Sus scrofa: one gene and its partner. The protein of the gene in region 1 interacts with the protein of each later gene in a biochemical or structural test. Links are inferred from orthologs where the notes say so. Each region holds a gene or a part of one and is shown on either strand. Other genes may lie near its edges. The genes, in order: SERPINF2 and ELANE.

What was found.
Region 2: of the proteins of SERPINF2 (region 1) and ELANE, one has a biochemical effect on the other in vitro, tested with the Homo sapiens proteins (2 studies listed by BioGRID). The link is inferred for Sus scrofa from reciprocal best matches to the Homo sapiens genes SERPINF2 and ELANE.

Annotation. Positions count from the first base shown.
Region 1 is NC_010454.4:47,933,121-47,937,516, reverse strand, and holds the start of SERPINF2 (alpha-2-antiplasmin), read right to left. Parts: upstream 2,967-4,396; 5' UTR 2,835-2,966; intron 1,478-2,834; 5' UTR 1,474-1,477; coding exon 1,423-1,473; intron 1,278-1,422; coding exon 1,239-1,277; intron 1,126-1,238; coding exon 1,063-1,125; intron 777-1,062; coding exon 575-776; intron 110-574; coding exon 1-109.
Region 2 is NC_010444.4:77,513,225-77,517,791, reverse strand, and holds ELANE (neutrophil elastase), read left to right. Parts: upstream 1-1,673; 5' UTR 1,674-1,700; coding exon 1,701-1,857; exon of another isoform or gene 1,858-2,248; coding exon 2,249-2,405; exon of another isoform or gene 2,406-2,543; coding exon 2,544-2,685; exon of another isoform or gene 2,686-2,823; intron 2,824-3,335; coding exon 3,336-3,566; intron 3,567-3,722; coding exon 3,723-3,929; 3' UTR 3,930-4,023; downstream 4,024-4,567. UniProt on the Homo sapiens protein: Serine protease that modifies the functions of natural killer cells, monocytes and granulocytes. Inhibits C5a-dependent neutrophil enzyme release and chemotaxis. Promotes cleavage of GSDMB, thereby inhibiting pyroptosis. Promotes blood coagulation.

The DNA of each region.
Region 1 (4,396 bases):
GCCCCAGGGCCCAGATCCTGGCAGAGGCGGCTGAGCAGGTAGGGGAGGCAGGGCCCTGAGTCTGCATGCAGCACCTGCTGCAGCCTCTGCAGCGTTTGGTTCTGAGCACCTGGAGGGCACACGGCAGCTGTGGCTCAGGCTGGGGGTTCCCTCCCATCCCCTCTGCCCTCTCCAGCCTCTCTAGAATATCTACGGTGAGCTGACTCATGAGACCACACTTTCTCCTCCCAAATCCTGAACAGGTTGGAGGGCCAGGACCCCCGAGTTTTACCTCCATCTCTGCTGCCGCCCATCTGGGCAAGCGCATCTCGTTACCTTCCCTCTCTGGATGTCAGTGTCCCACAGGGAAACCCTCCAGCCCAAAGGACACACTGGGGCTAGCAAGCTCTTGCATAAAATCACCAGAAGCTCATCCCAGCCCCCAGCCCCAGGGCCCTGATTCAGAAACCGGGGTCTGCATTTTTACCAAATATCCACGTGACCCTGATGGAGGAAGTGCCCCCTAGTACACTCTGGGGTAGCGAGTTCCCCTGGCTCCCGGCCCTGCTGGTTTGGACAGGTGCTGCCACAGTACCTAGTGCCAGGTGAGACAGTGCCAGGGCCACACTCAGAGGCGACAGGACGAGGTTGGGCCTGGTGGAGCTTCGGGCCACCAGGGAGAAGAGGTCCCTGGTGAAGGCCATCATGGCCTGGGCCAACCTGCGGGTCTGCTCCGGGGTTGGGGTCCCCTTGCATTCTCCTGGGGCCTCGTTCAGGGCAGTGTGGCCACCATGCTCCTGCAGGGACAGGTTGGGGGTCAGTGGAGTCAAGGGGCTGACCCGGGTTTTGCATTGATCTCCCCCAAACCCCCTGTGCCAGGAAGAGCAGGGCCTCGTCCCAGTCCAGACTCAAGAGGGAGAGTCGCAGGGGCAGTGGCATTCTAGGCACTAGGTCCCCTTCCCTGGTCGCTCCCACCCCTCGCTCAGGCCTCAGCGCCACACCCCTCACCCGGTTCCTGGCCCTTGACGATCGGCCCTCCTCCCCCAGGCCCCCCCACTCTTCCCCAGCCCCACCTGCTTGTACCTGGTTGTCCAACTCGAGGAGGGAAAGAGGGGACAGCTTCTCCTGGCCCTGCCCGATCATCAGCTGAAGAAAGGAGGGAGCGGATGAAGAGCAACGCACAGGACTCGCCCCACCCCGCACAAGCCACAGGCGAGGCCCCTTGGGCCTTCCCCCATCACACCTCTCACCCCCAGTACCTGCAGGCCCAAGGGGTCCATGGCGCTCACAGGAGGGAGCTGTGGAGAAGGGGATGAGGAAAGGAGGGGGACCCCCCTCGAGCCAAGCCCTCTCTCCTCCCCACACCCCCTCCCCTTTCCCCCAGACCCCTGGCCTCTTCCCCAGCCGCCTCCCTGCCTCCCCCAGACCTCGGCCCAGGCTCACCACGTGCAGGCAGAACAAGCTGAGCACCAGGAGCCCCGAGAGCAGTGCCATGTTCCTGAGCAGGACAGGAAGCCTCTGTTCATGCCACGCCCCCACCCACTGGGCATCCCACGCACACGTGCACGGAGGGAACAGCGGCAGCTGCTGCGCACACGACCGGGGCACAAGCAGAGATTCTCCGCTCCGAGGTGAATTGCCTGGAACCCCTCCCCCAGAACTGCTTTTTCCCCTTTGCACTTCCTGGTTTTTCATATTTCATCCACTGAAAATGTTTTGGTTGATAGGGGAAAACACCACCCAAACCAGAAAGTCATCCTTCAAGGCTTGGTGTCATGAGTCAGACCGGGGTGTTTTGTTGTTGTTTTGCTTTTTTTTTTTAGAGCTGTACCCTCGGCAAATGGAATTTCCCAGGCTAGGGGCCTAATCCGAGCTACAGCTGTCGGCCACAGCCACAGCCACAGCTACGCGGGATCCCCAACCCACTGATCGAGGCCAGGGATCGAAGCCGCATCCTTGTGCATACTAGTTGGATTCCGCTTCTGCTGAGCCACGACGGGAACTCCCACAGACCTGGGTTTGAATCCAGGCTGTGCCTCTTGGCAGAGGACCAAGGACGTCTTCCTCAACCCCTCTGGGCTCTGCCTTATCTGGTAAATGGTGGCGAAAGTCCCTGCCTCCAGCCACATGTCTTACAGGAACCAACATCATCAGTCTTTGTGAGCCCTGACCGCATGGCCTGGCACTCAGTAGTGGGTACAGTCAGCCTAGTTCAAGGCTTCTCTTCCGGGAGGCCTGGCCCGAAGCCTCCTCTGTACTGGGGCTCCCTCCGTGGAGCTCCTATCCAACCAGCTGCCCATCAGCCCACCTTTTCTGGTGAGTCTGGTCTTGCCCACAGGGGTGGACGAGACGGTGCTCTCAGCAGGGGTGGTGGGCTGGGCCAGAGACTGGCCTTGTTGACCCAACAGCAGAGCCCAATGAATGACTGGCCAGAGCCACCTTTGGACTTAAGGGAAAACATGGGCCTCGCCCCCCAACTCTGCCCCAGGCTGGCTCCGGGAAGCCAGGCTGGCGGGTGGGGATGGGCAGGTCTCTGTCTGGCCTCAGAGCAGGTCTCACACACGCCCACCCCACACCCAGCTCCGGGCCTGTTCTGGAGCATCCTCTCCCCCCAGCCCAGCCCACACAGTGATCCCTGGGCCGGGGGCCCTGATCTCCAACCCAGGCTTTTGAATCTTCCTGGCAAGAAAAGGCCTCAGATTTTCACGTCCCAGAGAGACTCCCCCCACCAGAACCCCCACCTTGGCTCCTCCTCTCCCCAGGAGGCTGGGAAGTGACAGGCCCCCCTGAATAAACTCAGCCCAGACCCCCTCGGCAGGTGGGCAGCTCCAGGCCGAGCCTTCCCACCCCTGTACCTCTGCGGGCTCCTCGCTGCTGCACACGATGTCCCTCTGGCCCCACTTGGGTGCTCCCCACGCTCTGCCCGGGCTCCAGCCGCCCAGCCGAGCCCTCCCCTCCCACCAGGACCTTTGCTCTCAGCCAACCCAGTTCCGAGTGCTTTCTCTTCTGGTAAACATTGACCTGCACATCCGGTTAAACATTGGTGCTGGGGCCAGAAGCCCCTTTCCCACCAAGGCATCTAATACTGGGTCACCTGGAACCCCTGTGGATCTGGGTCCCACCTGAGCCGTGAGAAAGGGGGTTCAGGAGACAGTCGAGGAGGCTGTCCTCAGGTGGAGGGCAGAGCAGGAAGCACGGGGGCCTGCCGGTGACCCCATGAAGTGGGAGGTTATCCGCGCTTTGGTCAGGCTCGGAGATGTGTGACCTGCCCACGGACACACAGCTAGGCTCAGAGTGACATTCAGCTTCCTACTTCCAAGGTCCTTTCCTTTCCCCCTTTCCTCTCCCACACCCCTGCCCCCCACCCCACCCCCCACGCCACCAGAGGAGGGAAGGAGAAGCTTCAAGAGACTCACTCGGCAGGGAACCCAGGATAGGGCGCCCATTCCCCCCCTCCCCAGGCCCAGGATCCTGGTTGGCTGCCTTCTGCCTGGGTGGGAAGAGAAGCACCCAACCTCCCAGGACCCCACCTCATCAGAGCAATGCCTCCTTACCCTTCCCAAGGGTGAGGGTTCTGGAAACTGGCCTGGGCTGCGCGAACCAGAAGCCCTGAACCCTGCACCACCTGAGGAGCAGCAATCAGGCTGTCTCCCCAGCTCGGGCCCTACTTTCCCCTCCCTCGCTGTCCTGGAAGCTGCAGGGTCTCAACTTCTCCCCACCCCAACCCCGCCATCAAGAAAAGCCTCGCCCCGCTCCCTGGCTCTTCCAAAGGTTTATTGATCATATTTACATCTATTGCAAATAGCGAGAAGGCAGCAGGGGCCCGGCCTCAGACATCATCTCTGAGTGCCCGGGTCTTCCTGTCCCCTGGCGGAGGGAGACCTGAGGTGCAGAGATGACTCTTCTTGCTCCTTCTTTCAGGGTGTTGGACCCGCTCCCCCAGGGATTCTGGACCCCAGAGGCTGCCTCATCAGCTCAAGGCACAAACACTGTGGTGACGGGTGGGCAGGCACCCCCTGGCCCTGTGCATCTTCCCGCCTTTGGTCTTGCCCACGTCCCCTCATGGTCCCACACTGGGCAGGGACTGGCTGGGGGGACACTTACACCCCAGCCCAAGCCCCTTAACTCCTGGACCACGGCCAGTCCTCCTTAGAGGCTGGAGTCCAAGCACCATCAGTGTCCTGGACTGGGGTGGCTTCCCTGTCCTCACGGCATAGGGGCACAGCGAGCCCGGCAAGGGGGGACCGTGGCTGGGGACTGGCCAGGCAGGGGGTCTCCTGTCCCCTTCCCGGAGCGTCCTGTCCCCATATGGAAAATGAGGGCAGAGCTGGGGAGAAGTGGGGGCAGCGATGCTTTCCCCCAGATCTCCCTCCTGCTTCCTGCTGGCCCGGAGCAACATCGCCCCAAGCTAGGGGCA
Region 2 (4,567 bases), on another chromosome or scaffold:
AGATGAGGAAACCAAGGCACGGAGTTGTCTGTAGCATGAAGTCATGGTGGGCAAGTGGCCACGCCACCCTCTGAACCCAGAAGCCAGGTGCTTAACCTCTATAACCACTGAGAATGGAGTATACAGGTGGTGCTCAATAGAAGCAGCTTTGGTTAAATATCCCTGCCTGAAGCGCATCCCCCAAAGTCTGGACCTCCTCCATCCTGCCCCACCCCAAGATTGGAAACAGGTTGTGTATGCAGCAGGCGTTTAACAAGTGCTCTATGGGATCCTGCTGTATAGCACTGGGAATTATATCTAGCCACTTACAATGGAGCATGATAATGAGAAAAAAGTATGTATATATGTTATGTGTAACTGTCAACTTGATGTACAGTAGAAAATTGACAGAACACTGTAAACCAGCTATGATGGAAAAAATAAAAATCATCATTGAAAAAATAAATAACATGTGCTCTATGGTGGCTGTAACTCAATCGAGAAGGAAGGGAGCTGAGACGGGCTGATGTGCCTCAGCCCAGGGGAGGGACGAAGGGTGGACACTGAGCGTCTGCTGTGTACTGGAGAGAGATGGGGGTTCACCTGCCTGTGGCCACACACCAAGGGGGCCCAGGGACAAACTGGACTTCAGCCCCAGCCTGCTTCTGGGCATCCCTGGGTGCCCCCGCCTGCCTGTTTCTGCAGATGGATCCGTTGGTTCCCTCCCCTGAACCCTGCTCCAAGCCAGGAGAACGTTGCTTCTTGCGACAGCCTTGGCTATGGCCGTTGCAGCTGGAGCAGCCGCCGGGGGGAGGTGGGAAGGGGAACAGGGGCCCCTGGGCTGGGGACTGGCCCTGACGGACCCCATCTCTACTGTTGGCTTAAGTTCTTCCAAGGTCTGGCCAAAGCTCTCAAACTTGGATGGAGAGCCATGGTCCAGCTGCCAGGCCTGGGTGGGAATTTTTTTTCCACTGCCTCAGGCTGGAAGTGGCTTCAGAGAAGCTCAAAGCAGGGGGTGGGGGTGTCCCAGAACCTCTGAGGGCCACCAGAGACTGAGCCTTGGGTGGCAGTGAGTTCCCTGTTAGGAGCCACAACCAAAGAAAAGATGGAAATCAGGCCCCAAGAGAGAGACCCAAGGCTGGAAGAGGAGGTAGCAAGTTACCTTCCTGCTGTGACCTGTGGACATCTGAGTTTGAACCCCAGTTCCCCCACCACATCACTGGGTAGGTGGTTTGCAGGGGCGGAGGGGGTGGGGATGGTGGCTCACTGTGCCTCAGTTTCCCCCTCTTAAATGGGGACCCAGCAGGCCCTGCCATGCCTCCCAAATGTCAGGACAGTGCTGGGGGGCTGCCATTATTACAGGGACCTGGGTAAACCAAGGCACGTGGGCATCCCAGCCAAGTCCTTTGGGCCTAGGTTGGGGAGATTTAGCAAAAACACAGGAAGCTCATTAATTCTGAATGTTGGAAAGATAAAGACTGACTTTATATAGATCAGTATATGCTGTGCAATATTTGGGATATACTTACACTTAAAAAAAAAAAAAGTTTATCTGACATTCCAATTGTATTGTGCGTCCTGAGTTTTATCTGGTGACCTTCTGGAGCCAGCCTGACCCCCTGCTCCCGTCCTCCTCCCGGATTCTTCCCACCACTCCCTCATCCCCCATATCCCCTGCACTGGGAGAGGGCGGAGAGGAAGTGGGGGCACCTGGCCCCACCATGGGGCAACCTCAACGGCCTCGAGGCAGGGGGGTTATAAGAGGGGCAAGGGGATTCCAAGAGCAGAGTCACTGCTGCCCCAGCCCAATCATGACCCAGAGCTGCAGACCCTCCAGCCCTGCCCTGGCCCCGGTCCTACTGACCCTGCTGCTGGGCGGTGAGTGGGGCCATGCAGGTCTCCTAAGGGCATCCAGTCCTGCCTCTCCTCTTACTCTGCACCTTCTTGGTCCCTCATCCTCATGGGGAGTGACAGTTGGGGTGAGGTGGGAAGGTGGGGGTCTCTAGGCACCCCCCGGGGACTCGAAGGTGGGAAGGTGGGGTCTCTAGGCACCCCCCCGGGACTCGAAGGTGGGAAGGTGGGGGTCTCTAGGCACCCTCCGGGGACTCGAAGTGGGTGAAGTCTAAAGCTCTAGCTGCGCCCTGCAGGGGGACCATGCAGGCCACTCCCCTCTAGGGACAGGGTGGCTGCCTTGTGGGGGTTCACTGGCCGACTGACCTTGGCGGGGCTCCTCCGCGCGGCTCACCGCCCCCACCGCCTGCGCCCCCAGGCCCCGCGCTGGCCTCGGAAATCGTGGGGGGCCGGCCGGCCAGGCCACATGCATGGCCCTTCATGGCGTCCCTGCAGCGGCGCGGAAGCCACTTCTGCGGCGGCACCCTCATAGCGCGGAACTTCGTCCTGTCGGCCGCGCACTGTCTGAACGGCTTGTGAGTGTACCCCCACCCCCGCAACCTCAGTTTCCAGTTTTCGCGGGGCCGGGGCTGGGGGCCTCGGCCGAGGTGCGCGGCTCTATGGGACCCCTGCGCCCGCACGGGTGACGACTCAATCGCCTCCTCCTGCCCCAGAAACTTTCGGTCCGTGCGCGTGGTTCTGGGGGCACACAACCTGCGACGGGGCGAGTCCACCAGGCAGAAGTTCAGAATCCAGCGGGTCTTTGAAAACGGCTTCGACCCCATGACCCTGCGGAACGACATTGTGGTTCTCCAGGTGCGAGGCGCGGGTGGGGAAGAACTGGCAGGTGCAAAGGCCCAGCTTAGTTTGGGGAGGGCGGAGCATGGGCAGGAGACTGGGGACACGGTGAGGACAGGCCTGGTGTCCCATCTCTCTGTGCTTCAGTCTTCCCCTCTGTGAGACGGAAATAAGTCAGATGCCAGGACAGCAGGGAAGCTCTGAGCAACTGTCAATCAATAAGGATAGTATTTCTGGAGCCCACAGGGATGAGGCGCAGGGACCTCTTGGTCCGTGGAAATAGGGTCAAAATTCTCCACGTTCATGTGAATAGGAGACTGGAGGGAGAGAACTGTCCTTCCCCACTGCTTGAATAGCTATGGTTATTTTCTGTAAAGTTCTAGAACAATGGCTTTATTGCTGGTGGTGTTACCCATAGTTTTGTTTTCTTGAGTACCTACTGTTTACTGGACTCAAAACATGTCTGGGGATGCCCTGGGTCACAGTGGCTGCTCGCACTTTACAAACAGGAAAGGGTGGGAACCATCCTGCAGGGTGGATATCTGGCTCTCAGATATCCCAGGACCATGGTGGAGCCCTGGGTGGGGGAAAACTTGGGGCCCAGAAAGATGAAGGTTGTTGTTCACTGCCTCCTGTGACCTGCCACTGCTCTGTACAACCTGCTGCAGCTCAACAGATTTGCCTTCATCAATAGCAACGTGCAGGTGGCCCAGCTACCTGCTCAGGACCAAGGCGTGGGGGAAGGGGTGCGATGTCTGGCCATGGGCTGGGGCCAGCTGGGCACGAACCGGCCACCGCCCCGAGTCCTGCAGCAGCTCAATGTGACTGTGGTGACAGCCCTCTGCCGCCCCACCAATGTGTGCACCCTGGTACCAGGCCGGCAGGCTGGCATCTGCTTTGTACGTATCTTGCGTTCCCACAACCCACCCCTTGCTCCCACCCAGGCTGCAGCAACCAAGACCCCTGGAAGAACTTCCAGCTCCTGAAGGGCAGTGGGTGGGGATGTTAGGGTGGGGCCTGAAAGCCCAGCCTCCCAAACTTGTCTGCTTCCACAGGGGGACTCCGGCGGGCCCTTGGTCTGCAATGGGCTGGTCCAGGGGATAGATTCCTTCATCCGGGGGGGCTGTGGCTCTGGGCTCTTCCCAGACACCTTTGCCTCCACCGCCAAGTTTGCAGACTGGATCAACTCCATTATCCGACGCTATGGTGATAATGACAGCCCGCCTCTCCACCCCAGGATCCCTGTGGGCAGGACCCTCTAGAAAGGCGGCCCCTGTTACCCCACTCCCCCCGGCTGGGCTCTTCCCATGCAGCATCATGCAGCATCTGACACAATAAAAACCCTGTTTTGTAGAATGTGCCTGGGTGTTTGTTGGTTGTGCAACTGAGTGTCAGAAGTCCTCAGGTGAATGTCTTGAGCATGTCACAAGTACGCTGCTACCAAGTAGCAGCAAATTTAGTGCACCAAGATAAAAAGTCCCTTCCTCATACTTCACTAAAGGATACCAGTAGCCGTTTCTGGCTTCCCCTCCTATAAAATGTCATTAGACTCTTGTTGCAGGTGGCAAGAATGCAAAGCACTATAGCAGGTGTTCATTCTGAGTCACAAGGATCATTCTGAATCTTTGCAATCTTCACTCATCTGTTTCTGGCTCCAGCCCCTAAAGTAGTTCTTATATAAGTGCCTTGTTTTACAGGCGAGGAAGTAGAGATGCAAAGAACTGTAAAGTCATGCTCCAGGGCCTGGGTTCGAGTCCCAGCTCTGTGACTTTGGGCAAATTGCTCACTGTTTCTCTGATTCTCAGTTCCCCATGGGGAAGACTGAGGCACTGTCTGGGGAGGACCCAATCAGGGGTTGGGGTCCAGGCCAGTCTCGGCCTCACTGGGTACGGAAACAATC